Kluyveromyces lactis: one gene and its partners. The protein of the gene in region 3 interacts with the protein of the main gene of each other region in a biochemical or structural test. Links are inferred from orthologs where the notes say so. Each region holds a gene or a part of one and is shown on either strand. Other genes may lie near its edges. The genes, in order: TAF1, SNF2, INO2, TAF4, STH1 and SWI1.

Evidence for each region.
Region 1: the proteins of INO2 (region 3) and TAF1 form a complex in vitro, tested with the Saccharomyces cerevisiae proteins (2 studies listed by BioGRID). The link is inferred for Kluyveromyces lactis from reciprocal best matches to the Saccharomyces cerevisiae genes INO2 and TAF1.
Region 2: the proteins of INO2 (region 3) and SNF2 form a complex in vitro, tested with the Saccharomyces cerevisiae proteins (2 studies listed by BioGRID). The link is inferred for Kluyveromyces lactis from reciprocal best matches to the Saccharomyces cerevisiae genes INO2 and SNF2.
Region 4: the proteins of INO2 (region 3) and TAF4 form a complex in vitro, tested with the Saccharomyces cerevisiae proteins (2 studies listed by BioGRID). The link is inferred for Kluyveromyces lactis from reciprocal best matches to the Saccharomyces cerevisiae genes INO2 and TAF4.
Region 5: the proteins of INO2 (region 3) and STH1 form a complex in vitro, tested with the Saccharomyces cerevisiae proteins (2 studies listed by BioGRID). The link is inferred for Kluyveromyces lactis from reciprocal best matches to the Saccharomyces cerevisiae genes INO2 and STH1.
Region 6: the proteins of INO2 (region 3) and SWI1 form a complex in vitro, tested with the Saccharomyces cerevisiae proteins (2 studies listed by BioGRID). The link is inferred for Kluyveromyces lactis from reciprocal best matches to the Saccharomyces cerevisiae genes INO2 and SWI1.

The regions. Positions count from the first base shown.
Region 1 is NC_006037.1:879,236-884,606, forward strand, and holds the start of TAF1 (histone acetyltransferase), read right to left. Parts: upstream 3,019-5,371; coding exon 1-3,018. Other genes in the region: RTT102 (Rtt102p), read left to right, coding at 3,575-4,036; RNH70 (Rnh70p), read right to left, coding at 4,232-5,371. UniProt on the Saccharomyces cerevisiae protein: Functions as a component of the DNA-binding general transcription factor complex TFIID. Binding of TFIID to a promoter (with or without TATA element) is the initial step in pre-initiation complex (PIC) formation.
Region 2 is NC_006038.1:740,569-745,881, forward strand, and holds the start of SNF2 (SWI/SNF catalytic subunit SNF2), read left to right. Parts: upstream 1-1,636; coding exon 1,637-5,313. UniProt on the Saccharomyces cerevisiae protein: Involved in transcriptional activation. Catalytic component of the SWI/SNF complex, an ATP-dependent chromatin-remodeling complex, which is required for the positive and negative regulation of gene expression of a large number of genes.
Region 3 is NC_006042.1:1,810,910-1,814,971, forward strand, and holds INO2 (Ino2p), read right to left. Parts: upstream 1,978-4,062; coding exon 820-1,977; downstream 1-819. Other genes in the region: serine/threonine protein kinase KIN2, read left to right, coding at 1-668; SCF ubiquitin ligase complex subunit HRT3, read right to left, coding at 2,553-3,602; CHA4 (Cha4p), read right to left, coding at 4,040-4,062. UniProt on the Saccharomyces cerevisiae protein: Positive regulatory factor required for depression of the coregulated phospholipid biosynthetic enzymes. Also involved in the expression of ITR1.
Region 4 is NC_006039.1:526,282-530,289, reverse strand, and holds TAF4 (Taf4p), read left to right. Parts: upstream 1-1,973; coding exon 1,974-3,074; downstream 3,075-4,008. Other genes in the region: MVP1 (Mvp1p), read left to right, coding at 1-121; RCL1 (rRNA-processing endoribonuclease), read right to left, coding at 290-1,384; PLB3 (lysophospholipase), read right to left, coding at 3,600-4,008. UniProt on the Saccharomyces cerevisiae protein: Functions as a component of the DNA-binding general transcription factor complex TFIID. Binding of TFIID to a promoter (with or without TATA element) is the initial step in pre-initiation complex (PIC) formation.
Region 5 is NC_006042.1:436,474-441,802, reverse strand, and holds the start of STH1 (RSC chromatin remodeling complex ATPase subunit STH1), read left to right. Parts: upstream 1-2,119; coding exon 2,120-5,329. Other genes in the region: MET18 (Met18p), read left to right, coding at 1-697; RRT14 (Rrt14p), read right to left, coding at 860-1,465. UniProt on the Saccharomyces cerevisiae protein: Catalytic component of the chromatin structure-remodeling complex (RSC), which is involved in transcription regulation and nucleosome positioning. RSC is responsible for the transfer of a histone octamer from a nucleosome core particle to naked DNA.
Region 6 is NC_006040.1:1,041,186-1,046,600, reverse strand, and holds the start of SWI1 (Swi1p), read left to right. Parts: upstream 1-2,073; coding exon 2,074-5,415. Other genes in the region: snoRNP complex protein NOP56, read right to left, coding at 1-1,524. UniProt on the Saccharomyces cerevisiae protein: Involved in transcriptional activation. Component of the SWI/SNF complex, an ATP-dependent chromatin remodeling complex, which is required for the positive and negative regulation of gene expression of a large number of genes.

The DNA of each region.
Region 1 (5,371 bases), on a different chromosome or scaffold from region 3:
AGATGTGCCATTACTGCCTTGAGCCGCAGCTGCATTGGCAGCAACACCACCATTATACATCGGACAGGATTTATTAGTCCTGATATGACCGATAGCTCCACAAGTTGCACATCTACGAGTCGTGTTCTTGGATTTGGAAACCTTACCATCTTTAGTCTTTTCTCTGGCAGCTTTACGAGCTTGTCTTCTTTCTTTAGATTTTTCCAATTTAGCCAATTGTTCTTCCAATAGTTTCTTTTGCTTCAATTGCCTTTCCTCTTCGTTCTCACCGCCAACAATGGTTATGTTATCGTTGATCAATTCATCAAGACCCAAATTACGCTCCGCCTCTTCACGCCTCTTTTCATACGCACGTAAGTAACCTTGAATGACCCTAGGGTCTCTGACTATAACAGTTTGTCGTTGAATGATACCGTTGGAATCTCTCTTCTTTCTAGTAATCCGTAACACTTTCTCGTCAGGTCTTGTCGAGGGAACATGCTTATTACTTTCATTAACGATATCTGGATCATCCATTTCTTCAAAGGGATTTTGAATGCTTAAAGACTTGGCTTGGTTATACCACGTCCTACTTATTTCTTCTTCATATGCTTTCTGTTGTTGCGCGACATTGTAACTATGACCACCAGCAATTTGCGGTTGATCCTTTGAACCGGATTTTACAAACCCACCCTTCATAGAGGTTTTCAAAAACGAAAAACCTTCACCACAACCAGTAGGATCACCAGGTCCATGTATTTGAATCATTGCTCTCATCTGTGTAGCATTCAAGAAATTCTTGGTAGCATTCCAAAATATTAAGTTCTCCTCCAACTCCTTAGCTCTTTCATCGAAGTTGTAGAAATCAATATCTTCCTGGAACTGTTGACCATAATACATGGATTCAACGAGTGAAACATCTTCAGGAGTAACCATTTTCTTCACGTTTTCGTTATCCAGTAAAACTTCTCCCTCCTTTAGTTTCCAGAAACCTTGATCATCACCTTCACGTTGATACTTCATGAATTCCTTTAATCTTTGTCTGTTTTGCATATCATTTTGTTCTGGGAAATGACGAGCCACCTGTTTCACTAACAGTCTGTTTTCCGGAGATTTGTTCAAAATACGATACACAACCATCCTCAAACGGTTCTTACCCATAGCAGTAACCTTTCTAGAATTCGGACCAGGAACTTCGACCACTGGGAACGTTTGACCGACAGCAAAGAGATGATTAATTTGACGCAAATAGAATCTGTTACCGGACCCATTACCAAGACTTTTCACCAGAAGGAAATCGGTCTTAGAGACCTCATGTTTGAAAACGGGGGCTCTGACCATATTGTTATATAAAGTGGGAACAATGTTTCCTGGACTGACGAAACCAAAATTCCAAAATGGTGATTTATCCTGCACACCTAATACATGAGTCTCACCAACGGGTAATTTTGGTCTGGAGCTGTCTGTTTCTCCCGTCTTTCTATAATAATTGATAAGCTTGTTAGCCATACCAAATTTAGATAACGCAACAGGTTGCTGTTCACTGTATTCCATCAGGAACACTTGAGCACTGTCACCAACAGTCAAGTCCGCAGAATGTTGGAAAATTTCGTGCACATCCTTACCTTTATCCTTCTTTCTCTTACGGGTCTTTATCTTACTGAACACTATGTTGGTACCAGGACGAATCCGTTTCCCGAAATGATTTCTATGAAAGTGTCTCAACTGATCTTTTGGTAACACAACTTTGTAGAATGGAGATTGTAGGCGCGTCGCCGGTTGAGAATGTTCTATATTCAAATTCGAAATTGTAGATCTGATCTTTTTTTGATAGTTCTTTTTCAAAATCTTGTAAGTGTCATCGTTAGAGATGTTGAACTTTGCTAGTAGAGATTTCTCATTATATGGTATTAGAGGTTTAACGACCTTTTGTGCCGATTCGATTTTATTCTCATTAGGCAAAATAAGTAATCGCTCATCATTCATATCAATTGGCGGTTCTTTAGCACTCACCTTACCATTTATGATATCATCTTCGTTCCATTCCCAGTCTTTCCCATCTTCTTCTAAAGTGTTCTCAACTGCTGGCGGATTCCTCTTGTTACTCGTCATTGGCTCCTCATTTTCTCTATCGTCAACAATTTTCTCATAATCCCATTCATCAGCTACAATGAGAAGATCTTCCGGTATCACTTCATCGTGCTCATCTTTCTTGTCATCTACAGTATCTTCTTTATATATCTCATCGTATGCTACTTTGATAACATTTCTTCGTTGAACTTCAGAGAACTCGCTTATAGCACTTTGCCAAGGCTTTACGCTTTTACTCCTCATCTTGAACAATTTTTTTGTATCCTTTTGAACTTGAAACTTCACTTTAATGGGTATGAGAGGTTTTAAAATTCTGTTTCGAAGGTATAACTCCCTTTGCCATTGATACTTCGCCAACGGTTTTGGAGCTATCTTGGTCATTCTTAGGACTCTACCCGGCTTTAGCTCAGGGAAATAAGACTGAAATAATAACTGTTCTTCCTTCGCATTTTGTTCCTCTTGTTTCCTTCGCTGTTCCTCCATTAACCTCCTGTGTTGCTCATCATATTCGTTAAATTGGTGTTGTTCTGGACCAAATGACTGATATGTGCTCTCCATGAACAATGCATTATTACCTTGTACTTCAAATCCAGCAGCGTCAACTTCATGCATCACATCACCATGGTCCATCAGAGTCATATATTCGTCGTCTTCAGTCAGACTCCGCTGAAACGACCCTTCATTATGCCTGTTCGGAGAATGGGATGGCTCTTCTTCCTCCGGTAATTCTTCATCTGCCAATTCATCTTCATCTTCAAAATCAATAGCATTCGGCAGATGCTCTGTTTCATCTTGCTTACCATTGCCGCCACCACTAGTATAATTACTAATATCTAATGCCCCAAACTCACCACCAAATAGAGCGTTATACGCATCATCTTCATTGCTGAAATCCTTCTTTGCCTTGCCTTGTTTCTTGCTTCCTGAGCTTCCAGCAACCCTAGGCATTTCGCAAAAATGGGTGTATTATGACTGGAATCAGATTAGAATTCTGTTATTGACAGAAATATTGGCTCACAGAGTTGAATGAACCTATTTAACCACCCTTTTTATGACTTCGAGCACTCTTTACTGAAATGTACATATCAGCTCTTCAACTTTGTTTAGATTTTGATATTGAGGGATCAATCCAGAGACCGGGTAACGTAATTTCAGTGCAATCCATGTAACATAAACCACTATCATGGCCCAGATTGGCCACTTCACTCGAATTAACAAGGTTATATGCAATGTGTAGCATGCACTCATCTCATTTACTGGCTTTTCGTTTCAATAAGTGGTTCGCTGACCTATTAATCGACCATTTTATCCCATTTAAGGTCAATTTTTGTTGATAATTCTGCCAACATGAAATTAAAGCCAAACATCAAGAGCTTAAAGCTTAACAGTGCGAGCAGAGATCTAAAGGTACAATGCGACAATCTTTTAGGTGTTAGATCGACTAACTCGGCCAATTATTTCAGCAAATTTACACACTGAGCCATATACTTAACAGAAAGTGAGAATGTCTTTGATAAGTAGGGCAAATCGTCTTGGAGGTTTCACGACCGATGCAAAGCATTGGGAATACGAATGGTCCACTACTGCTAAACAAAATGAAAATGGTACTGATGAGAAGGTAAAATATAAGTTCAAGCAATGGGTAAAAAAAGATCATCCTTTGAGAGATGTAGTTGAGGATGATACAGATGTTCTTAACTTAGATGAATTTGATAGGACGAAGATAGCTAAGAAAAATGCTCGTGTCCAGGAGAAAAGTGGCCCAGATTCACTCTCAATTAACGATATAAGAGGAGCTGTTGGTGGTTCTGACATTCCTGGGTTCTCAGGATCGGATGCTAAGAAAGAAGCCGAGAGTGAAGCTGCTGTTGAAACTCCTGTGGTTGAAACTCCAGCGGAAGAAACTCCGGCTGAAGATACACCGGCAGAGGTAAAAGACCAAGAAGGCGACGTAAAGATGGAATGATTCATTATATAACGATTACACCTATATACTGTAATTTTACTACGATTCATGGAATCCAGAATGTGGCCTGGACGCCCACTCTCGAATAAGATAAAGACAGTCCTTCATCCAAAGGAGGGCAAGCAGGAAAAACCATCACCGCTTTTGTTCTCCACATAGGACGTATGTGTGCGTTTGAGACATTACTATATAAAACTATTGGCTTTCATTATTCACGTTGTTGGTTTTGATAGTCATAAATGAGATGGCATCGCGAGCGGTTTTAATCGAAGCCTGTATTTCTGCTTCACGTTTGGATTTTTCCACTGCACGGTCTTCCTTATCAAGTTTGTTCAACTCACTCATTATTTTGATCCATTCTCTTGTATCACCAGTACCTGAACAGATTAGTAGCATAGCTGATGAAGGTAGATTTTCATAGATCTTTGTAATTCTTTTCCCCATGTTTTCCAATGCTAGCTCCTCAGTTAGAACTTCAGTGTCACGGTTATTGCATGCGGCAAATTCACGAGCATATTCTAGCTCTCTGAGTCTTCCGACGAAAAGGTTATGTTCATTGATGTGCTCGCATATTTCATCAGCAACCATCTGGTCGTCTTTACATCTAACATGCACTTCATGATTTTCAATCTTAAGTACATTGCTTTGCTTTGAAGCTGAATCGTTTAAAATCATAGAAGATATTCCATTTCGTGAAAGCCTATGGAAAAGGTTTTCTGTATTAAAACCAATGCCAAACGTCAATCCGTTTACGATCTTCAGCTTGGTCAGTTCCATGCATGTTTTAGCGTCTTCATAAGAATCATGGCCCAAGCCTGTATCTTTTTGAATATCAACATTCAAATATTCCGAGGCCAAATACCTTAGGGCTGGTCTGAATGGAGGACCTGCTTTGTGCTCGTAAATAACTGCCGTGTCAACGATATTGGGATGTCTTAGCTTTAAAACGTTAAGGTCCGACTGCAACGAATGTCCAATTAATACATCCTTTGAGCTAATGATATTGAGAAGATCCTCCTGTACATCCTTCAATGTAGTAGTAACGTCGCGTAGTTTTTCTTCGGTTATTCCGCTGTACTTGGTCAAATAATCTATAATTGGAACATCAGGCTTCACCAATTTATCATAAATGAGATCACCGTCGAAATTTACAATACTGCATCGGGTTAGAACATGTCCGTTTTCTGACATACACATTTCACAATCTATTGCAAATGTTCGAGGGCCATCACGGTCAATAGTCTTGGTGTCCGTCCACTCTGAATAATAAGGGGACGAGTATAATTTTTCCAATGTTTCCTTGAACTCTTCTATTAGACCTGGTGAATCCAAGTG
Region 2 (5,313 bases), on a different chromosome or scaffold from region 3:
GAAAGAGGCAGCAGGTGTTAAGAGGCACCTCACTTCGCCGTTTCTTTTTACTGCCTACAGAGCGGCTGAAAGAAAAAGGCCCTGCCATGTACATCTCAAAAAGGTGAATTGCGCAAAAGAAGAGCCAAAGCCCAATGATTGACCCAGTGAAGACATAACATTTATAGAGAGTTAAGAATCACAGAATGGGAATGAGGGAAAATACCCGAATTATAATGGGTTAACTAAGTCCTGTTTTAGAACCGTTCCTGGTGGTCGCAAAAGAAAAAAAAAAAAAAAAAAAAGAGAGAGAGAAAGAGAAGCACAACTTAATTTCACCTCGACATCTTATGATATGGTAATTAGGAAAAAAAAGTACTACTGTCGGATTGATAGAGAATAGAACAGAATTGATTACTTAACTAACCAGTTTTGATCCCGTCTAATTCCGCAATCAAATACGGTCATGTATCTTGTCAACGTAAAAAAAAAAAATTGGAATTAGCTTTTGCCAAATGAGTGGGGCAAATAACCTCGTACACATACATAGAACATGAGATTAACACAGAGAAAGGCAGCTTTTCTTTTCAAAGACCATTCTCTAATTTCCAATTTCCCCTTCCTTCTCTTCCATTTCCTATCTGGTACAGCTACATAACATATAACGTAACATAGCAAAAACCCCCCTACCGATGTGTTCAGTTCCGAGAGAGACGGAGAATGAGTATTTAATCTACTCTACTAGTCACACTACTGCCTGCACTAGTGAACGATCAGAAATCAAAAGCCTAGTTGCACAGGGCAACAAATGATGTAGAAATAGAACAGAGAAGTGATAGAATCGGTGGAAAGAAAGAATAAGCAGAAATAAAAAAAAGAGGTATCCACACGTTACTTCCTATGCATCTAAGGCCCGGCACAGAATCAGCATAGCAGCAAGTCATACTTAGTCTTACCTCAGTCTCTAATTCACTCTCTGTGCCTTTCTTGTTTCACTTAATTTCTCACAAGACGAATGGGATGGGGGGGGGGGGGGTCTGTCACTATATCCATTCAATCCATATCAGATTCCACTGTACACTTGCATGTACTGCGCACATCCCTAAAATGTATATCCATATCTATGTATCTTATATACACACATGCAGCACGTCATCTTGTATATTCCGCAGCTATTGTCCAGTTCCATCCCGACATACTCTTAACGCCTCAAACGTATGTCTTAAACTTGCCTTAAAGTGTGCTTTAAACCCATGTTTTAAGCCCCAGTGCCAGTCAAAATTCACACAGAAAGCATGATTACAAAAGCGAATAATTTACACAAAAAAAAAATTTTTTTTTGTGTTACGCTGTAAAACATAAACAAAATAACTTTAGTAAACGGAAACGGAGAAGGGAAATAAACACAGAAAACAACAGAACCGTTGTGCATACAGGCTTTGCGTGTGTTTAAGGTAACTTCCTTCGGTTGGTATTTTACTTTTCGGATAGTCTGCAGTGCCATATCGTCGGCGGCTAAGCAGTACTTTTTCTGTTTTTTGTTTATCCTTTAGCTTCGGCTTGAATTAAGAATTGCTTTGCTCTCTTTGCTAGTGACAAGCGTTTTTATTACTGGTAATAGTATTAGTATTAGTGTTGCGATAGGCCTGTTTTGGCAATGGATTTAGAGTTCAGTCCTCCCAGGAGGGAATATACGCGTGAAGAGATTAATCGTTGCTACCTGCGGTGGCAGCAGCTTCGTAACGAACATGGTGCGAATGTCGAGTCTATGAAGGAGTACCAGTACTATACGGCTGTGTTGAGGATGGCTGCCAGACAACAGCAGCAGCGACAACAACAACAACAACAACAACAGCAGCAGCAGCAATTGCAGAATGCAACAACAGCAGCAGCAGCTAGTTCGGCTTCGCCGAATAACATACCGACTCCGTCTGCTTATACCCCTGGCAGTAATGGTATGGGCCCTGTAGCAGCAACAGCGGTACCACCACCACATATGTCACCACAGGTAGGACCTCAGCCGATCGCGCCGGCTTCTGGTCTAACAGTAGGAGTGAATACGCCAGCTAGCACCAATTCTAATTCTAATTCTAATTCTAATAATAATAATAATAATAATAACGCGTCATCATCACGGTCTTTGTTCACAGATGAACAGTCGCTCTTGTTGAAGGCACAGATCCAATCTCTTAAGATGATGGCTAACCACATGGTCGTACCACCAGAGATTATGATGGTCATTGATCGGTCTTTGACCAATTTACTGGATTTCAAATCCATTCTACTGGCGTTGAGTGCCGATTTACAAGCTCATAATGCTGGCCAGCAGATGCAACCTCCAGTACAACAACAACAACAACAACAACAACAACAGAATAATGTACCGCAGCAGAAGCTTTCGCCTCAGGTACGCCAAGGCGTGAAGAAACCAGTACAGAAGGTTCGTCAACCCAAAAAGGGTAAGGTGGAATCACCAGTAGCAGCAGCTTCGCAACCACTTGTACAAAATAACATGCCTGCTCAACTGGTAAATACCACGGCAAATATAAACCCAGCTTCTCCTATAGTGACGTCAGAACCCACTCCTATGGCAGTTCAGTCCCCAATGGTGGAACCTTCGCGCCCTATTTCTCCTCCTATTCCGGACCAGGACCCCCCAAAACAAGAACCTCCCGCTCTTTTATCCACATACAAGAAGCAACATGAAGATATAGAAAAGTACATCGACGTAGCTTCACCGCATATTATGGTGGATTGTTTCTCGTACCCAGAACAAGGCGGCATTCCAGGCTCCACACCGTTGGTACCACCAATTAGTTATACGGATCTTCTTAACCAACAAAATCTTTCTATCACCCCCAGTCTGTTACCCGTTGGTCTGGATCCAAGGTCTGCTATGGAAACTTACCAAACTCTCATCGCTTTGGATTTAGATACATCACTGGATTTTTGTTTGCAACAACTATTAGAATCAGATTCTCAAGTAAAGGATAAAGGGGAATTGATTATGGACTATAATGCAATGCAGTTACTTCCTTTACAAAAAGCTATTAGAGGTTATGTATTGTCATTTGAATGGTATCAAAGCACACTTCTCACTAATATTCATCCTAACTTTTTATCCAAAAATCGTGGTTTAAACATTCAAGATGCTTTGTTGACTAGAGAATTGTTTAAATCACGAGAATTACAACAGTACGAAAAACAACAACTTGAAAAATCTTCTAAATTGAATTCAATCTTGGACCGTTGTAAATCGATACATGATTTGAGAATAGATAAAAAAGCTCAGCGTGTTAAGTTAGGTCACAGGTTGATAAACTTACACACGAACTTGGAAAAAGAAGAATTGAAAAGAATTGAAAGAAATGCCAAACAACGTTTGCAAGCATTGAAAGCTAACGATGAAGAAGCATATATTAAGTTGTTGGATCAGACAAAGGACACAAGAATTACGCATTTGTTGAAACAGACTAACACTTTCTTGGATTCTTTAACCAAAGCTGTTAAGGATCAACAGTCTTTCACTAAAGATAAGATCGAATCTCACCTTGACACTCAGGAACTTAGCGAAGACAACGTGGGTGATAAAAACGGAGCAGACTCTGATGATGACTTGGAACGTGAGAGAATCGATTATTATGAAGTTGCTCATAGTATCAAGGAAGAAGTGAAACAACAACCATCCATCCTTGTAGGTGGTACTTTGAAAGAATATCAATTGAAAGGTCTACAGTGGATGGTGTCTCTTTTCAATAACCACTTGAACGGTATCTTAGCAGACGAAATGGGTCTAGGTAAAACTATTCAAACAATTTCTCTTTTAACCTACTTGTACGAAGCTAAGGGGGTCCATGGTCCATTTTTAGTTATTGTTCCGTTATCCACTTTGACCAACTGGAATGCAGAGTTTGATAAATGGGCACCTAAGTTGCGGAAGATAGCTTTCAAGGGTCCTCCAATGGAACGTAAACCTAAACAAGCGTTAATCAAAAATCGTGAATTTGATGTAGTGTTAACAACCTTCGAATATATTATCAAAGAGCGTCCATTACTTTCTAAGATAAAATGGGTTCACACAATTATTGATGAGGGTCACAGAATGAAGAACGCTCAATCTAAGCTTTCTTTAACTTTGAACACATATTATCATTCTGATTATCGTTTGATTTTGACTGGTACCCCTTTACAGAATAATTTGCCAGAACTATGGGCCCTTTTAAACTTCGTTTTGCCAAAAATTTTCAATTCTGTGAAATCTTTCGATGAATGGTTCAATACACCGTTTGCAAACACTGGTGGTCAAGACAAGATAGCATTGAGCGAAGAAGAAACTTTATTGGTCATTAGAAGATTACATAAGGTACTCAGACCTTTCTTGCTTCGTCGTTTAAAGAAAGATGTTGAAAAAGATCTTCCTGATAAAGTAGAAAAGGTTTTGAAATGTAAGATGAGTGCATTACAACACAAATTATACCAACAGATGTTGAAGCATCGTAGGCTATTCATTTTTGATGATTCAAGTAACCAGAAGTTCTCTAGTTCTCGTGGGTTTAACAATCAAATCATGCAACTCAGGAAGATTTGTAATCATCCGTTCGTATTCGAAGAAGTGGAAGATCAAATCAATCCAGCAAGGGAAACGAACGATACCATTTGGAGAAGTGCCGGTAAATTCGAACTGCTAGAACGTATTTTACCAAAGTTCAAGGCTACCGGTCATAGAGTTCTAATTTTCTTCCAAATGACGCAAGTTATGGATATCATGGAAGATTTCTTGAGATATCTTGACATGAAATACTTAAGATTAGACGGTCATACTAAATCTGATGATCGTACTGCATTATTAAACACTTTCAATGCCCCAAACTCTGATTATTTCTGTTTCCTTTTATCTACAAGAGCTGGTGGTTTAGGTTTAAATTTGCAAACTGCAGATACCGTTATCATTTTTGATACTGATTGGAATCCTCACCAGGATTTACAGGCCCAAGACAGAGCTCATAGAATCGGTCAAAAGAATGAAGTGCGTATTCTTAGATTAATTACAGACAATTCAGTGGAAGAAGCAATTCTTGATAAGGCGCATGCCAAATTGGACATTGACGGAAAAGTTATTCAAGCAGGTAAGTTTGATAACAAATCAACAGCTGAAGAACAAGAGGCATTATTGAGATCGTTACTAGAAGCTGAGGAAGAGGAAAAGAAAAGACGTGAGTTAGGCATTGAAGAAGAAGAGCAGTTGGATGATAACGAACTCAATGAAATCTTGGCGAGAAACGAAAATGAAATAAAAGTATTCCAGGAGTTGGATGCTCAAAGGATCAGAACACA
Region 3 (4,062 bases):
CTTTATTCCTAAAAGGCTTTTTCTCTGTCCAAACAACATCTTCTAAACCATTACCTGTCGTTAGATACAAGATTATTAGTACGTTGAAAAAGTTAAACATCGAATTTACAGAAGTAAAAGGCGGTTTTATCTGCTGTCACAGACAATCTTACGTATCTCAAGAGCAGCCTCCAAACCACGGTAGGCATCCTTCTATTGTTATTAATGAAACTTCTTCATTGGAATCAAACAGCTCAACAGCAAACTCCCATAGAAAACAATTGTCAATACCATCACGTCATGGTTCCATTAGAAGACATGGTTCACTCAAACAACCAGGAATCCCAGCCACACCTCTGGCTGCTGCAACGCATGAACGAAATCTGTCTGTCACTTCGCCACGTACTAGTACTGGGCAAATCCTAGAGGAAGTTTCTACTGCATCCTTCGAAACTCTGAATAATCAAGAGGACATATTGACTAATTCAAAGGCACAAGATATGAATAAAGTTGTTATCGGCAATAAGAATGAAGCAGGTAATAAAGAAAGGCCACCTTTGAAGTTTGAGATACATATCGTTAAGGTCAAGCTTGTTGGCTTGGCTGGTGTCCATTTCAAGAAAGTTTCTGGTAATACATGGATGTATAAGGAATTGGCTACACATATTTTGAAGGAATTAAATTTATAGATTAAAACTGTATACACACTATGTATGCCATAATCATTTCCTAATGCAAGTCTAGTTTATAATGTTACATGCCACTTTTGTCTCATTATGTCATTACATTTTTCTCTATGCAATAACTACGTGAGGAAACCAAACGACTATTCTAAGAAACTCATTTACAAAGTTGTTCAAGCTCCTCATTCGCCAGTAAAAGCAGCTGGATGTCCTGGACGATATAATTTAACAGTGTATGTTTCGTGATTCTTTTCCCTTCCTTCTTCGGGAGTTTGTAGTCAAGGGAGATGATTTCTTTTGATTTCGGCAGATTCTTATGAACTTCAGTCCAAACTGGTCGTGGATATCGTATCATCCCGATCAACTCATCGTATTCTCTTTTGAAAGTGTTTCTTCTTTGTTTCTCTAAATAGACATGTTTCCACCTTCGCAGCTCTGCAGCATCGCTTGAGATATCTTCAGGAATGACGTGTTCAGGAACTTCAACGATAGGAATTTTGGGATCAATTGGCTTGTACTGTTCATATGATTCGAATATTGGAAGAATCATGGGTTCTATCGTAGTAGATTTACCTTTACTACCATTGTCATTTTTTAGAATATCCTTGGAATTTACATTATTGTTTTTTTCTTCATGAGATGGGGATGCCGCAATGGCAATCTTTGTGTCCAGCCTTTCTCCCTGCTTAGTGGTTGACTTATCCTGGAAATGTCTGGATATTGTGGTTTGTAGTTCAGTATGGTCGAAAATATAGGTATGAGGATCAGCTCCCAAATGTTCCGCATTTCGCATAAAATTTTGAGCCAGTTTCGGAGAGAAAAGGGCGGCATTAGAAGCCTTTGACGGTGAGGTAGTTAATAAACTATCCAAAAAGTGCTCAATTGCATGCGACTCGTTCACACTCAACAAACCTTCGTTATGTGAGTTTCCAGAGTGTTCACCAAACGCCCCGAAAGGTGATGAAATGTGGTTTCGGGGAGTCTGCGGTCTGCTACTAGGAACAGAATGGGTGATTTGTGATGCAGCTGGCTTTGTGTCTTTTTCTTCTTGGAAAGCTCTATCTCTATTGACTACTTTGTCAACTTCCTCATCAGTATTAGTATGCTGATCCCCTCCTGTCGAAGCATTCTCTGGAACAACAGTCATATGGTTGAAGAACTGAGAATCATCTACAAGATTCATATGAAATTGATCGTTTGAATCATCCCATAGTTCCGCTTTCTCATTAATTAACTCATAGGCAGTCTCGAAATCTAAACCTTCCAAATCCATGTCCAACAGAGAACCGAGGCCACCTTGGCTTTGAGCTTCCATTGTATTTTCAGAAAATCGGTTAAGATCTGTATTGCTACTGAACACTCCACGCGAATAGTTAAATGTCTAAATGTTTGCCTGCGTCCAAAATACCCTTTTATAATTAGATGGGTACTTTATAAATCTATCAAACGCAACAAATCTAGGTATACTTGTACCTCGAATCTCCATGCACTCATATATCAAACTCCGCAGATCTAATAGTCCAGCTAATAGTCAACGCTGTAATAACTCGATATAGCAACTTATATCACTCAATGGCTATATGTTTTTCTGCAACGCACCTCCAATAATTCATTCACATTACATTGTTGGACCTTACTATAAACTAAGATGTACTCTGTGATGTTTTCCGGTAATCGAGCTTTTCGTCAGTTTCTATTGAAATCCGGACGCTCTGGACATTTTCACATGGAGAGGATTTAAAGTCACGTGTAAGAAGATATCACGTGAACGGGCTTTTCTCGTATATCGTCTATCACTTAGCATCGCGCGAGCTACAAGTATCCACTCATTAGTCGTGATGGAAGTACAGCTCTCTGGCTGTTATAGTAATCAAATATGACAGCCCTGATCTAGCAGTCACGGTATGACTTCGCCTTCGAGAAATGAAATGGTTTTTCTTTGCTCAATGAGAACTGCATTGTTGTGCCGTCTTGCCTCGTTGCAGAAGAAGCAATCCATTTCAACTTGCTGAACTTCTTGTGACCTCTGTTTGAGATTTTCAAGATCTCGTTAAATTCAAGCCCATCTTTTCTTCTATTCCTCTTGATTGTCAACTGATCAAGGCCGTCGTCTAATGACAGGGACCACGAACATATATCTGAGTCTTTTCTTTCAGAACATCTTTCTAAAGAGAAACCAGGTACCACTATATTTGGTTCGTCAGTAGTCAATAATCTAATGCATCTTCCATCTGGATAGAATCTGAAGTACCTGTAATAAGTGATCATGTGGATTGGGTTCAACAGCGAAGATGATCCTTCCGGGATCGATCCGTGCCTCAAATAATTCACCACACTGATATATATTCCATGGAACTTGATATACGGCCGTTCCTTTAGCATCTTTCTATAATTTTGACCCCATACGGTTTCTGCTAGTGCTTGTATATCTGATATACCGTTTAGCCTCATCTCATTTTCGTTGTATACTTGCTTCTTATAGATGTATTCCGCGAAAGTCCGGTACGGTGAGGAATCGTGGAAGCATAGCAAATTAAACTTTTTACAAGTCAAAGATAGGTTCATCCACGAGTCTGCTGAGCTTAACACAACCATGTCTATAATCATGGATAATATATCGTCAGGGAGCATATCCAAAATCCAGCAGGGAAGTTCAACAAGGTCTTCAGTTTGAGAAAGTCCTTCAGTTTCCTCTTTTCTGCCGTCCGGATCAGTTTCCGATGAACCATCAACAATATTGACATTAGAATTGAGCTTAAGCTTTTTCATCTCTTCATTTAACCGCCATTCATCATGCATCTTCTTTCTATATAGTTTCTCAACGTCCGGATTCATCCTTAATGCTTTACGGTAATATTTGATCGCGTCGGTCATAGCACCGGCAGTTTCCTTCGAATAGCCCAACTCCCATAGTGCTATAGCTTCAATCGGTTCCTCCATTACGCGTTGTTATTTTTCGTGCGTTAGGCCCCTTGGTAATGAGTATGCTTCCTCTCTCTTTTACCTTATATAGCCGACTAGCTTTTTATGCTGTTTACGTTTTGTTCAGCTTTACGCAACAGGAACGAATATAAAGTTACTACCGAGAGATGGACAAGTACGCACAATGTTGAAAAATATGAAGTGGATTCCTTGTCAGTAGCTGCCATCCTCAGCAAATCGGATTTCTTGATTCTTATCTGACTAAAAAGTAATATTAAGTACATGGCATATTTAATATATGAAGAGCTATATAACTTCAAAGTTCATTAATATGTGAATATCACAAGAAACACAGTCGATAAATCATAAATAGCCAGTCCTTCAAGATCTGGTGCATCAATGAAAAGCAGGAACTAAAACAAAGTGCAAAGTGTGTAGTGCTGTATAGATGCTGCTTATTTCATTGTTATGTCACCAC
Region 4 (4,008 bases), on a different chromosome or scaffold from region 3:
CTTGATTACAGATTGCTTCCAGAGGTGGATTGAAATAAATTTGAGATACACTAATAACAATGTTGACAATTGGGAAAAAATTTGCAAAAAGCTCCGCGATATGCCCCTGCAAAGACACTAAAACTATCCTACAATATTTATCTTGAATGTTCCAAGCTTTATGGAATTGTTTGATACGATAATAATAAGTGCTACGCGAAGGAATTTGTGTTGACACATATGCATATAAATTTTATATATGAATACTTATGGGAGTCATTTTGTCAGATAAAATGATATGTAATGTCAATTATGCGATTTTCTTATTGGTGTTTGTGAATCCAATACCCTTGATTGTTGCGATTAGATCCGTAGTGTTATCATCCACTGGCTTCAAGAGTATTTCTGTACCGAAAACTTTCTTGATATCCCGTAAGAGCCATACAAATCTTTCATCTATTTGATCCTTAGTGATTCTGAGTCTTCCGATATCTTCTTTACCGATGATCATGTATAAAATTGTAAGTGGCAACTGGTTTCTTCCAACAACTCCACTTTTGCTTATTTCTTCAAGTAGATGATAGGCTACGGATGCACCAATATCTTCTGGAACATCCCCAGCGTCACCGATAGCTTCAGAAAAGATTCTCCATCCTTGTTTGTTCTCTGCTACGAGCGTTAGACCCCAACCTGGACTTTTACCTGAGTTTTCACCTCTCCATACATCTGCAGTTATATTTACTTCACAACTAGCAGATTTAAGAACTTTTTTCGCACCATCAATCATTCTATTTACAAGGGAGGGACTGACTCTTGTGGAGTATGAAACACCTCTTATACTTGAAATCATTGTTTTATCCAAGGCGTGCATTGTAATCGGTTGTGCAATCAATGAATCCACAACAAGGTGTACTTCACCACCACCTAAAGGAGGTGAACCTCTCTTCAAAGTATGTAATGCACATTCCCTGACGCCAAATTTTTCCATAATCGGCATCAACCCCCATTTTATCGCATCTATTCCAGCATCATTATGTGAAGATGTTATACCACGGAATAGGATTGAGAATTTCTTCTTTGAGAAGGGGGCTAAATACAACATTGGCTCGGCAAAATAGCCCACAGGTTTACTGTTCGGACATTGATGTGTGTATGAACCACCAGTAATTATTCCTGGTCTGAAGATGACGGTGGTACCAGTGTATGAAATTTCTATTGAACTACCATTCGTTACCGCTTCCATCAATCTTAGAAAAGAGACTTCGTAATCTTTTAAACCCGGATTTAGGTCATCAGAACGTATCTTTTCTATCTTTATAGCTTTTCCTGACAATGTAGCCATTACTACTCGTAAACGAAAGTTCCGTGAACCTTCAAAGGTTACGTATCTGGAAGAGGATGACATGTCCAATTTGTCTGTTTGTCTGTCCTACTTCGTGAGGAATAAATTTCCTGATAAATCTCTTTAGAGTTTTTAATACAGAAAGTGACCTTCTATCGGACGCTAATGGAATGGTTGATGGAAGTTAACTGAAACCTTTCGATATTGGTTTTGTGTTGTATGTTCAGTTAGGCGATGAGATGAGATGAGATACGCTTTTGACAAATTTTTTGCAAGGAAAAGAAATGAGCTTCGTTACCCGGATTATGTGATCTTTCAATCTTGAAAAAATCAAAGCCAGCAAACAATAGCATCTAAATGAAGAAAGAGGTAGGAACTAGATAGAACTTTTTAGCATAATGTTTAATACTCGCACGTTTTTTTATCTTTGTTGAAATCATTAAGGTTGTACGTTTTTCGCTGAAACTGGATTTTAATTGATAGGCCGCATTTGGACCTGTTTTTAAAGATTGACTTATTCTTTTCATAGTTTATTTGCCTGCATTTTTGGGACAAGTGCAATAGGTGTCCTCAAGTATCCAATACGATTCTTTTTACCCCCGTGTTTCACCAGAGAAAACTATCACTATTGGTCTAATTAGTATAAAATACGATGGCAAAATCGCCCAAGAGAAAGAATTCTGAACCGGAAGATTTATCTTCAAATAAACGTTCCAAATCATTCGAATTTGGCAAAGTAGAGAACGGGCTGGAACCCAGTGGCTCAGATTTTGGCAGTGATCTGCCTACGCCATTCGATACTATGGTTACAGAACAGCCATTAGCTCTACCTAAAGCATCATCTCCAACTACAAACCTAGCATCTCCGCGAAACTCAAGTACGCCAAATTTGAAGACGACGAGTACGACAAGCAAACAATCACAGAAAGCAGAACAGAAGAAGAATGCCGGGGGTTCAACAGGTAGTACGACTGCCTCAACTACAAAACCACAGCAAAGTGATCCAGACAAGCTTAGTGATGCTTTGTTATCGGCCGGTGTTGATATAAGAGAGGAAGAGGCATTGCTAAGTAGCACAGTTGCTAGAACAAAAGCAACCGGTATTTCAGCAAATAACCAGGTCCCATCTCATCCTCCATTCCTACATCCTAAGAACATTTCAGATTTCATGAAAAGAATTGCATCAGAACAAAACTTTCATCAAGATTTCAATAAAAACACTGATATACTCGGATTAATGTCTACTGCATGTGAACTTTACATGAGGGACGTGATAACGAACTCTTTAATCCTATCCATACATAGACGGAAAGGTGTTAAACTAAACACGGGAAGGAGGAGTGAAGTGAGTCGTTCTTTGAGGGATTTAGCATTAAGACAAAAGACTCAAGAAGAAAGAAGAGTACAGAGAAGAATAGCACTCGGTTTAGAAAAACAAACAACGGATGCTAGGTTAGATACTGAAGAGACTCAATATCGTGCATCAAATGCAACTGCCAATTTGATGATTGCAGGGGGTAACAAAAAAAAATATAGTTGGTTGACCGCTGGATCCAAGTCCAGCTCGACAGACCTAAAAAATCAGGGAAATGTTTCATCTGCTGTTGCAGCAAGGGGTGAAATGGGTATCAAATATAGAGAAGCAAGAGAAGAACCTGGCATCGTTATGAGGGACCTTCTTTTAGCTTTAGAAAATAGGCGAGTAGGAGTTAATAATGTTATCACTAAAGGATATGCTAGAATCAGAGACTAGCATTTCCAGTTACTTTGAGGAATAATATGAGTTTCCGAGATGTTCTGTAGTATGCATACTTATATAATATAAACCTTTCGATAAATAACATAGAGACTCATACTTGCATGCGAGATTACTTTTCCTTTTCTACCTGACATGTCGCATATTTAATATTTAAAGATAGTTTTCATTTTTTAGTATCTAAATACTCAAAATCACGTCAGAGACAAATAAAGTTTAAAAAAAATAGAGTTTATTAAACCATTACTTCACACGACGCTTTAATAAGTACACTAATGATCGACGCAATTCGGTACCATTTATCGTTTGTATCTATTATATTACTTTTTAACGAATCATATCAAGATACTTTTATATACTCCAGTCTTGTCAATGATTTGGTCATTGGTCAAAGGAGATCATCTAGAGAAATTGGAAACGAAGGAGGTACAATGACGAATTCATAAGAACGAATCTGCATGAACATCTGAAAACTCAATGCATATATATTTTTTTGGTTTTAGTTTGATACTCATGGGTAAACTAGAAAGAGATGAAGACACTAGCTAAACCTCCAATCAACAAAGATAGCGTACTTCTTGGGGCCAAAATTCTGGCACTATTTTCTTTATTGCCGGAATCAGATGTTGAGGTGGAACTTGCAGAGGAGGATGTAGTGCTTGAGATAGGGGTGGTGGCATCGACAGTTCCATTCCAGCAGTATTTTTCGAAACAAGCATCACATTCAGATGGAAGTGTATAATTTAGTGATTCTTGTTTCCGTCTCAATATGGCGCATGAGATACACCCCATAAAGTTCTCATCTTTAGTGAGATTTTTCATGGTGACAGCTTCGAAACCGTTTTGGATCATCTTAAACCTTTCGGAAGTGGAGTACGACATTTTAAACGTAGATGTGTTACTGTTGAAGGACTCCCTTGTGTTTGGCATA
Region 5 (5,329 bases), about 1.4 Mb from region 3:
TTTGGTCATGAAAAATTCAGTTCTTGCAACAAAATTGACGGATCATCTATTTTCTCTTTTAAGTGACGAGAAGTTTGGCAATAAGGTTGCTCACCTCTTTGAAGTTTTAGTTCTTGACCTTCTAATTTTTCAAAGATTTAAAAAGGTGTCATGGAATAACAATATTCGATTAATTTACAAGCAGAAGTTTTTCAATCACATTGCACAAAAAATGGTAAACGCCTTCAAATCTTCTGATAATATGACCATTAAATCGAATTATCTTACCGCAGTTTCTTTAGTTTTAAAGAATACTCCATCAAATATCACCATATCGTATATCACGGACTTGTTACCTCTTCTTCTTCAGGCTCTTGAACTAGAGAATATCGAAGTCAGAATATCATCTCTAGAGACACTAAAAAATACTGTGAATCAAATGTCTCAGTTGGTTACTGAACATGTCCATTCGTTAGTTCCGCTGTTACTTAACTTATTGGTCCCATCGAAATATAGTAACGTGAACGTAAGATTTCTGTCATTAGAAATTCTTCAGACTTTAACAACCAGTGTTCCCCTTAACTACTTGATCCCCATGAAGAATGAAATTATATCAAAACTTCAAATTGGTTTAGATGACTCGAAGCGTAGAGTGCGCAAACAATGCATAGACACAAAACAGGCATATTTGGAATTAGGACAGGTACCATTTGAGTAGTTCTACTTCCTTCAAATAATGAATATACTTAATTAATATATATGAACCGACAATGAACACTTGAGTCTACTGAGTATTTGATCATATGCTGAGAGAAAAAAACACACCTTTGTATGAGCCGCAATGAAAACTCCGTACCTGTACGTCTTTGTAAATATGAGCTCAATAATCTTCATCTTCGTCTTCTGATTCCTCCTCATCGCTCGCACCAACTGGAGCCAATCCAGGTGTGAGAGCTTTATATCTGTGGTCTTGTATCGATTGTGGTAGCTTCTCCTTGAACTGTTTCTTCTTTTGTCTCCTAGATTTTACCTTCCTTACCTTCTTTGAATCTTCTGAGTTGGCAAGTATTTGTTTCTGTAAATCTAACAGTTCTTCCTTATCGTCATAATCCCAACTTTTCAGGTTGCGAACATTTTTCTTCACCACTTTATCCAAATAGGATTTCTCATGATCCGTAAGAGAATTATCTACTTGATGCTTTCTTAGTACTTGTAGCTTAGCCTTCTGTTCTATATCCTCTTGGACTTCTTTTCTTCCAGATATCTTCTTTCTCAACATTTTCTTCTCCCTCTTTTTGATCCGGTATACATCCTTTTCTTGTACCTCTACTCTTTTCTTCAAGTTCCTATCTATTAGTTGTGCTTTCGAGCCTTTGTCTCGGCTTGTTTTCTTTCTTTCTGCATTAACCGACGCAGAACCCGGCAGTACGCTTTGCAACAATGCGTTCACAGCGTTGGTAGCATGAGCAGCTGCAAGAGATGACATTATAATCAGAGAATTTTAGTTCTTCAAACCTTGATTGTCAATACAGAAGACACTTTTGTAACAGTTCGAAGCACTGTAACTATCTCAATCGGGGAACTTGATAGTTCACTCTCATCACATCTCATCTAATCTCATCTCATCTCATCCATGGCGTATTATCCAAATTTTCATTTTAGGTCATGAAATATTAAACAAGAAAAGAAACAATGGTGCCCACTTTAATGCGAATATTTTGGCACGTGATCGAAGTTGGTTTATTACCCGGTTCTTGTTGTTGTTACCCGTACTTTGGCCCATGGCAATAGTGAATGTCAAAGAAAAAAGTAAACACGATAAATAAAATTGTGAAAAAGAGGATGAATTTGAAAACAGTTTGATTTTATTCTGAATTTAGTTTTGACACGAGAAAAGGACGAACAGAGGTTTGTTTTCAACACGGCAACGGCGGCTAAAAAAATAGACGCACCGAAAGCGAAACAGTAAAGAATTCTAGGGCAATAGTACCTGTTTGTATCGCGTTAGCTTTGTGACAACTCTGAATTTTTTTAGCAGGACTTCAGTTATTGTTTTACCCCCTTTCAGAATAAAAAAGGTTTAAAGCTCACTAGCGGGAAGAGACCTGGATCACGTTAAGAAGTGTGAAATAAAACAACAATGGATCAAGTCGTCGTAACGAATAACGCGGATACAGCGCCTCCTTATCCGCTTCCTATAGTGAATTCTGAGAATGTTGATAATGGGAATTCCGAAACTGAAAACCAGGACGTTAACGGCAATATCGAAGACAACCATGTTGGTGCTGACAAAGGAAGCAACAACAATTTTCGGAACGACAGTGGTAGTGCTATTGGACAGAACCAGATTGCCGCTGTTCTAGAAGAAATGAAGAAGGTGGAAAGAGTAATCTTGCCACTACCTGAAACGAAAGAACAATTAGAAAATTTGATTTATCGTTACAGATACATTTCTCAATATAGAGATCATAATAAGCTTGAAGTTGAGGCTATTGAACAAATTTTCACCCAAATCTCGGATAAACAGGAAGAGTACAAGGAAAGGCTGCTGAGGTTAAGAGAAAACGCAGCCAAAGATATTCAGTGGGACGAAAAGTTGTTGAAGGAGCAAATGGTAAGCTTACAGCTTTTGAGTAAAGATATAAATATACCGGATGGCCTCTTAGAGGATGATGATGATGAATCAGTAAGTTCCGACAGTTCTGATATCTCGGTACAACTGGAGAAGGTTAAACTTTCTGTTGATTTCGACGAAACAAGTGTGCGCTTAGGCCTTCCCGAAGCTTTAAGCAACTTTCGTCTTAAATCTGGAAATGAAGCCTCGCTTGGAGATTGGGAGGTTGAAAAAATAATCTCCACACTCATTGCGAAAAGAATTAAACAACTTGAAAATCTACCCTCTAATTTGGGAACATATTCTTTAAATGATGCGCTTGATTTTGTAACTAAAGATGATATTCCTACCGGCGCAGACGACTTCAAGTTAAGAGCTTTGGTGGAGCTCAAGTCCTTGAAAATGCTAACGAAACAGAAATCTTTGAGAAAGAGGCTGATTGAAAGTGTTGCAGCTAAATCGCATAATATCATTCCATCTCTCCGTGACTCTCCTTATACTTTAGCAGCTCAAAGATCCATTCATGTTAGACCGAAGACCATCGTTCCACAAACTGCTAGATTAGCAGAAGAACTTGAAAGGCAGGAATTGGTAGAAAGCAGGAGAAGAGAAAGAAACTTACGGTTACAAAGGATCAATAATATTGTATCAAGTATCAACGAAAGATTGGAGAATGATACAACACAACGTGATCGCTGTTATCAAATGGGTAGATCTATCGGAAACTTGCATGGTCATTTGGAGAAAGATGAGCAGAGAAGAATGGAAAGAACTGCCAAGCAACGTTTAGCAGCCTTGAAGTCCAATGATGAAGAAGCATATTTGAAATTGTTAGACCAAACCAAAGATACAAGAATTACACATCTATTGAAACAAACTAATTCTTTCTTGGATTCTCTTGCTCAAGCGGTTAGAGTGCAGCAAAATGAGGTACGCATCAAAAGGGGTGAAGAAATTCCTCCAATCACGGATGAAGAAAGAGAAAAAATTGATTATTACGAGGTTTCCCACAGAATTAAGGAAACAGTAGACAAACAGCCAAGCATATTGGTTGGAGGCACGTTGAAAGAGTATCAACTAAAGGGTTTAGAGTGGATGGTGTCTCTATACAATAATCATCTTAACGGTATTCTCGCAGATGAAATGGGTCTAGGTAAAACAATTCAATCCATCTCGTTGATCAGTTATCTTTATGAAATAAAGAACGAGAGGCAACCATTTTTGGTGATTGTCCCTTTATCCACCATCACGAACTGGACTATAGAATTCGAAAAATGGGCACCTTCTCTAAGAACCATTGTGTACAAAGGGAACCCAAACCAACGTAAGGCTTTGCAACATACAATCAAAATGGGAAATTTCGACGTGGTTCTAACTACTTATGAGTACATTATAAAGGATCGTCCACTGTTGGCCAAACACGATTGGGCTCATATGATTATCGATGAAGGTCATAGAATGAAAAACGCTCAATCAAAACTATCTTACACGTTGACACATTACTACAAAACAAAAAATAGGCTAATTTTAACGGGTACTCCATTGCAAAATAATCTACCAGAATTGTGGGCTCTATTAAATTTTGTTTTACCTAAGATCTTTAATTCCTCAAAAACATTTGACGAATGGTTTAATACACCATTCGCGAACACAGGTACTCAAGAAAAGCTAGAAATGACAGAAGAAGAAACGCTTCTAGTTATTAGAAGATTGCACAAAGTTTTACGTCCATTTTTGTTACGTCGTTTGAAGAAGGAAGTCGAAAAAGATTTACCTGACAAAGTTGAGAAGGTTGTGAAATGTAAGCTATCAAGTCTCCAGCAGCAACTATACGAACAAATGTTAAAACATAATGCTTTCTTTATTGGTGCAGGAACAGAAGGTGCAACCAAGGCTGGTATCAAAGGTTTGAACAACAAGGTCATGCAGTTAAGGAAGATATGTAATCATCCATTCGTTTTCGATGAGGTTGAAAATGTTATCAACCCAACGAGAGAGAACAGCTCCATTTTGTATCGTGTTAGTGGTAAATTTGAACTTCTAGACCGAGTTCTTCCAAAATTTAAAGCGTCAGGTCATAGAGTATTGATGTTTTTCCAGATGACTCAAGTTATGGATATCATGGAAGATTTCTTAAGGATGCGAGACCTTAAATATATGAGATTGGATGGTGGTACCAAAGCAGAGGATAGAACTGGAATGTTAAAACTGTTTAATGCACCCGATTCTGAGTACTTCTGCTTTTTACTTTCTACCAGAGCTGGTGGGTTAGGTCTAAATTTGCAGACTGCTGATACGGTCATTATTTTCGATACTGATTGGAATCCTCATCAGGATTTACAAGCCCAAGATAGAGCTCACAGAATTGGGCAGAAGAACGAAGTTCGTATTTTGAGATTAATAACAACCGATTCCGTCGAAGAAGTTATTCTAGAGAGAGCAATGCAAAAATTGGATATTGATGGTAAAGTTATTCAAGCCGGTAAATTTGACAATAAATCTACTGCTGAAGAACAAGAAGAATTTTTGCGTAGATTATTGGAAGGTGATACTAACAAAGACGATGAATATTCTGGTGAATTAGACGACGAAGAATTAAATGAAATTCTCGCACGTACTGAAGACGAGAAAGTGCTGTTCAAAAAGATTGATGAAGAACGTGTAGCTAATGAGAAGAGAGAAGCCATCGATTTAGGTTTGAGAAAGCCACTGCCGAGGTTGATCACCAAGGAAGAG
Region 6 (5,415 bases), on a different chromosome or scaffold from region 3:
ACTCTTCTTTTCCTTCTTATCCTTCTTCTCTTTCTTCTCTTTCTTTTCCTTCTTTTCCTTCTTTTCCTTCTTGTCCTTCTTGTCCTTCTTGTCCTTCTTAGACTTCTTTTCCTTCTTCTCTTCTTGTTCAGAGTCTTCTTCATCGTTAGATTCTTCTAGCTTTCTCTTCTTGGAGACTTCAGTCGTATCCACTTCTTCTTCGTGAGCTGGCTTATCTTTATTGTACAATTCGATGGCTTCCTTGATAGCAGATTCATTCTTCAAAGTTGGGGTACCAGAAGCATAGAATTCCAATCTTTGTTCAACTTGTTTCTTTAGCACTTGACCGAAAACGTTAGATGGTTCATCGGAGTAATTATCGATTCTAGAAGCCATAGAACATTTGTTAGCCAAATATCTAGAGATTCTACCCTTGTTCTTAGCACTAGCTTTAGCGATGAAACCACTGTGGTAAATCAAACCATACTTTGGTGTGTTACCTTTAGTCTTCAAAGCTCTGAACAATGCCTTTTCAGCACCCAAGATTTGGACAGTAGAGGCAGCTTGCTTAGAAAGATTGGTCAAAGAACCAGAATGAGAGATCAATCTAGCACCGATAACTTCACCGATCAATTCGGACAAGTTTGGAGCCACAGTGTGCATCTTCTCACATAGGTAATCGTATAATTGTTTCCTGTATTCAACAAGGGAGACAACTCTCTTAGCGAAGATGGTAACGTTTTCCATATCAGTTTCAGAAAGATCTTGACCCATAGAGATACGAGCGTTATCGATCACTCTTTCACTGATACCAGCATCGTTATCCAAAATTTCCGATAAATCGTGCAAGGATTCTTCGTTCAAAGATGCCTTATCCTTAATGAATAGAACGAGTTTAGCAAACTTGTAATTGTCTGGGACTAACTTTGCCAACTCTGGGAAATGCCAACCGTACCATTCCTTCACTCTCATGGCAAAAGTGTTGATATCCTTATCCAATTGATCCAAGAGAGCAATGGCTTGAATGATATGGTTATCGTTTTTCTGAACAGAGAACTTAACCTTAGCACGAGAGTAAGCATGACCCAAACCAAGTTGAGCTCTTTCCAAATCACCAGGTTGTAAATCTTTCAATAATTTGTCACCGTGTAATCTAACACCACGAATCAAATCCTGAGCTAACTCATTAGAAATACAATCAACAAATGGAAAAACTTCTTTAATGGATGGACCTAAGTTCTTATCAGAAATAGCCAAAGTAACAGTCTTCTTAGAAGAACCCTTTGGTAAATTTAAATCCAACAAAGCTTTCAAATGTTCAGAGACTAAACCTTCAGAAATATCATTAGCATTTTCCAAAGCTTGAGCAGCACCTTTGAAAGGAGCAAAAGAAACCAACTCAACTAACTTAGTGAAAGAGCCGAAATCATTGATCTGTTGCTGGACTTCCTTCAAACGAGATCCGATATCATCCTGTTGCAATTTCACTTTGAAGATACCATACCCGGTAGGTTCTTCGAACAAAAGATATTCAATAGGAGCCATTATTTAATTCTCTGATCAATAAAGTTTCCTCGCTACCGTAAAATCTCTTTGATCTGGACTCTTCAACACACACTAACTTCGGAATGAATGAACAAAACTCAAGATAATACAGACAAGTATTAATTGAAATATCGCTGTGCACATAACACAATATACAATATATTCACTGGTCAGAAAGCTCATCTCTCTTTATTGGCTTCGAAATGAAAATTTTCCAAACAAAAAAAAAAGAGCGATGAGCTTGAAAAAGAAAAGCAGAATGGGAAATATATTTTACTTACCCGGCCGCGGCCGGGTAAGTTATACACGTGATCGAATGTATTACCCGGATATAGAATAATTGACAAAATCACGTGACCTGGAATTTTCTTGTCTTTCCAAAAACAAAACAACGAAAGGAAACTCGAAATTGTATTCAATGAATTCAATTGACACTTGACTATCACTACTTTCAGAATGAATATAATTCCCTTGTTTTAGGTTTTATTTAGGCGTGATTTCTCTCCCCTGATATCAAGGGTCAAACGGTAACTTTATTGGTACATACGGATGGACGATCAGTTTTTGTTCCCGGACGAGAGTGATCCAATGAATTCTGGCGATGGCCAGCTTTTCGGTCAAGGAGGTTCGAACGGTGATGAGTACCTTTCCTTCCTTGATAACTCAGGCGCACCCAACCAGCAAGGTATACCTGATAGTAATTTAGGGCCGATGGAAGATGTTAACGCAGGCGTAACGCCCCAGGCTATATTGGCTAGAAATTCATTCTCAACTGTCAATTCACCTCCGTCGATGAAGAACGGTGGAGTCTCTATCTCTCCACAATCCATGTTTTCTCCAGCCGCAGGACCAATTCCTATGAATACAGCCAATGTAGCACCGACGCAGTCTCCCGCCGGCACTACTTCTTTACAGCAGATGTTATCGCAGCGTGGAACGCCGCAAAATGTGCCAAGTGGATCCCCTACAATGGCCGATGAGTCTTTAGCTCAGGCGAGTGCTAGTAGACAGAGCCCTCAGTATATGGATAGAGCCGCAATAATTGCTGCGCATCAACAGAGGCAACAGCAACAGCAACAAAAGCTACAGATGTTGCAACAACAGCAGGCATTCAACCAATTACAGCAGCAGAAACTAAGACAACAGCAGCAACAAGCACAGGCTCAAGCGCAGGCACAGGCTCAAGCACAAGCTCAAGCTCAAGCCCAAGCACAAGCACAAGCACAGGCTCAAGCTCAAGCCCAAGCTCAAGCGCACATACAAGCACAAGCGCAAGCACAGGCGAGAATGCAACAACATGCGCCTCAAGTACAGAATCAGTCTAATAACCAAAGAAACGTTCTACAAAATCTAGATCCAGCCATTCAACGGAAAGTCGGTCAGGAATTAAACACCAAACAGTTTGAACTATTTAGAAAATCATTTTTGGAACATTGCAGGAGAAAGAATCAACCCGCAGATATTGCTCAAATGATTAATGGTACCCAGGTCAGTTTCTTCATCTTATACATGTATGTTCAGAAGCTTAACGGAGGAGAAAACGTCACTAAAGCACAACAATGGCACATATTGGCGAAAAAGATGAATATACAAGGACCAAATGCTGGAGAAGAATTGGCAAAGACGTACTACAGATATTTACTACCGTACGAAAAGTACTTGATGACCCCAGAAGGTATTAAAGAAACTCAAACCAATCGTATCATGTTACAGCAATTACTTCAGGACATTATAAGAAACATTAGAACGAATACACCGCAGTTCCAACCGCAGGTGCAAAATCAGTCTTTTATGCAGGGTCAAAACGTAATACAACCGGATTTACAAATGAAGCAACAACAGATTCCTAAGGCTCAAGGCAAAACAAAGAACACCGTCCCAAAACAAGCAAAACCTAAACAGCCTAAGAAGCCAAGAGTGAAGAAGAAGACTAAGAAAGAACTAGAACAGGAAAGAAAACAAATGGAAGAGCTGCAAAAGCGTCAACAACAAGAAGCGGAGCAACAACAGCAGCAGCAAAAGCTCATATTCGAACAACAATTGAAGAAACAACAGGAAATTATTTTGAAACGTCGTGAAGAGCAAATTAAGAAGCTTCCGAAGGTGTATAAGAGAACGATGGCCAGGCATTATAGTCCCACCACAAGAGCCATCACCACGCAAAATGGGTATGATATTTCAAAGATTTCAGCTCTTGGTGAGATGATACATAATTTTAAACCCATCTTCCTCTTTGCGCCGGAGTTTGGTGTCGTCAATATCAATGCAATTGCAATGCAGTTACAAAGTTCTAATAACCCGGAAGTCAATACCGCACTAAACTCATTATTAGTTATTAGCTCCGATAACACTTTATCAATTCCACTCGATAAATGTCGTGAGCTTTTGGATAACCTCTGTATCTTGGCGTGTCAGTTACTGCATAAACTATTGAAGAAGGATTATTCAAGGATATCAGGGTCTTATACTGAATATGATGAACAGCAGTGGATTAATACGCCTCCCAAACATTCGGATTCCTCTGATACTCATATTGATAAAATTTTCAAGGAAAGCGTCAAAAAATCTGGAGAAGATCAATCTGAATATACAGTAAAGGTAGACTCTTTAACTGGTATAGATTTTTCTCAACTTCCGATCACACCGACGGAACCAGAAATAGAAGTCGATGCGACATTACCTGAAGTCTCACTGGAGAAGGACGAAGATGAGAATGATATTGAATACTTACCTGATTTGTTGAAAGACGAAAATCTCGATGAAATCAAAAAGCTACATTTCATTTCATATATGGATTCTCTAACTAAAGTCAAAACGGAAGTCGGATCCATCTTTAGCAAGTGTCACCGTTCTGGAGCAGAGGATCCGCACTTGTTGATTGTTGACCAATTGACAACAATTTCAATGATCTTGAGAAATCTTTCATTTAACGAACAGAATTCACAGGTAATGGCTAATAATTACCACATGGAAAAATATATTGCAGATACTCTTTGGATGGTTTTCATTCATAGAGATGAGTTTATTTTTGAGCGCAGGGTTTTAAACTTCAAGAAGGATTTGATTTTTATTCTATCTAATATTACACATATGTTGAAAATTGAATCAACAGTAACTTGTTTGTTAATCATAATGCTAGCGTTGAGCTTCGCTGATCCGAAAGATCATATTCAAGAGAATAGCGTCTTGACATATGCAGAGTACACCATGAATGTTGAAAAATGTCAGACATACGGTGCGGACGTCTTGGCTAAACTTCTTTCTCTTGGTTACCCAAATAGAGCACATTTTAAGTCAGTATTAACTGGTGTTTTCACTGAAGAAAATGACGATGATGACATATGCCAGCAGGTTTTAGATTTGTATAACGGGGACGAAAAATTCAAGTTGTTTAATGACATTTTCTCTTTTATCATTTCCACCATCCCCTTCCAACAAATCAATAAAATCCCTAATCTGATTGAAGACTCACTTCCATCTATTTTACAAGCTCTGACAGCTGCTGTTTGCATTGTAAAGTTTATCGATGCTCAAGAGGAGCACTGTATTTTCAAAAATCATAACCTCCCATGCAAATGGCTCACAGCAGAAGAAAATATTGGAGTAAGCCTTCGTAGAATTAGCGAGGCTCTTGCTAATATTGCAATGCAAAACACTAATTTGCGAGAGTTCAAGGACGTTTTAAGTATTATCAGTGGTACAGCTATTCAGTTGATTAGGCTAATGCTAGAAAAGAGTCTTGAATTAGCATTGATTTCGGATCATCCAAAATTAGCTAGAAAGAAGATAATAGAAGAGTTGTCACAAACCCCTAATTTACTTCCAAGCGACAATTCAGCTGTGACAATCATAATGAATCCAACAACAAATATATTCATGTCCAACGAAATG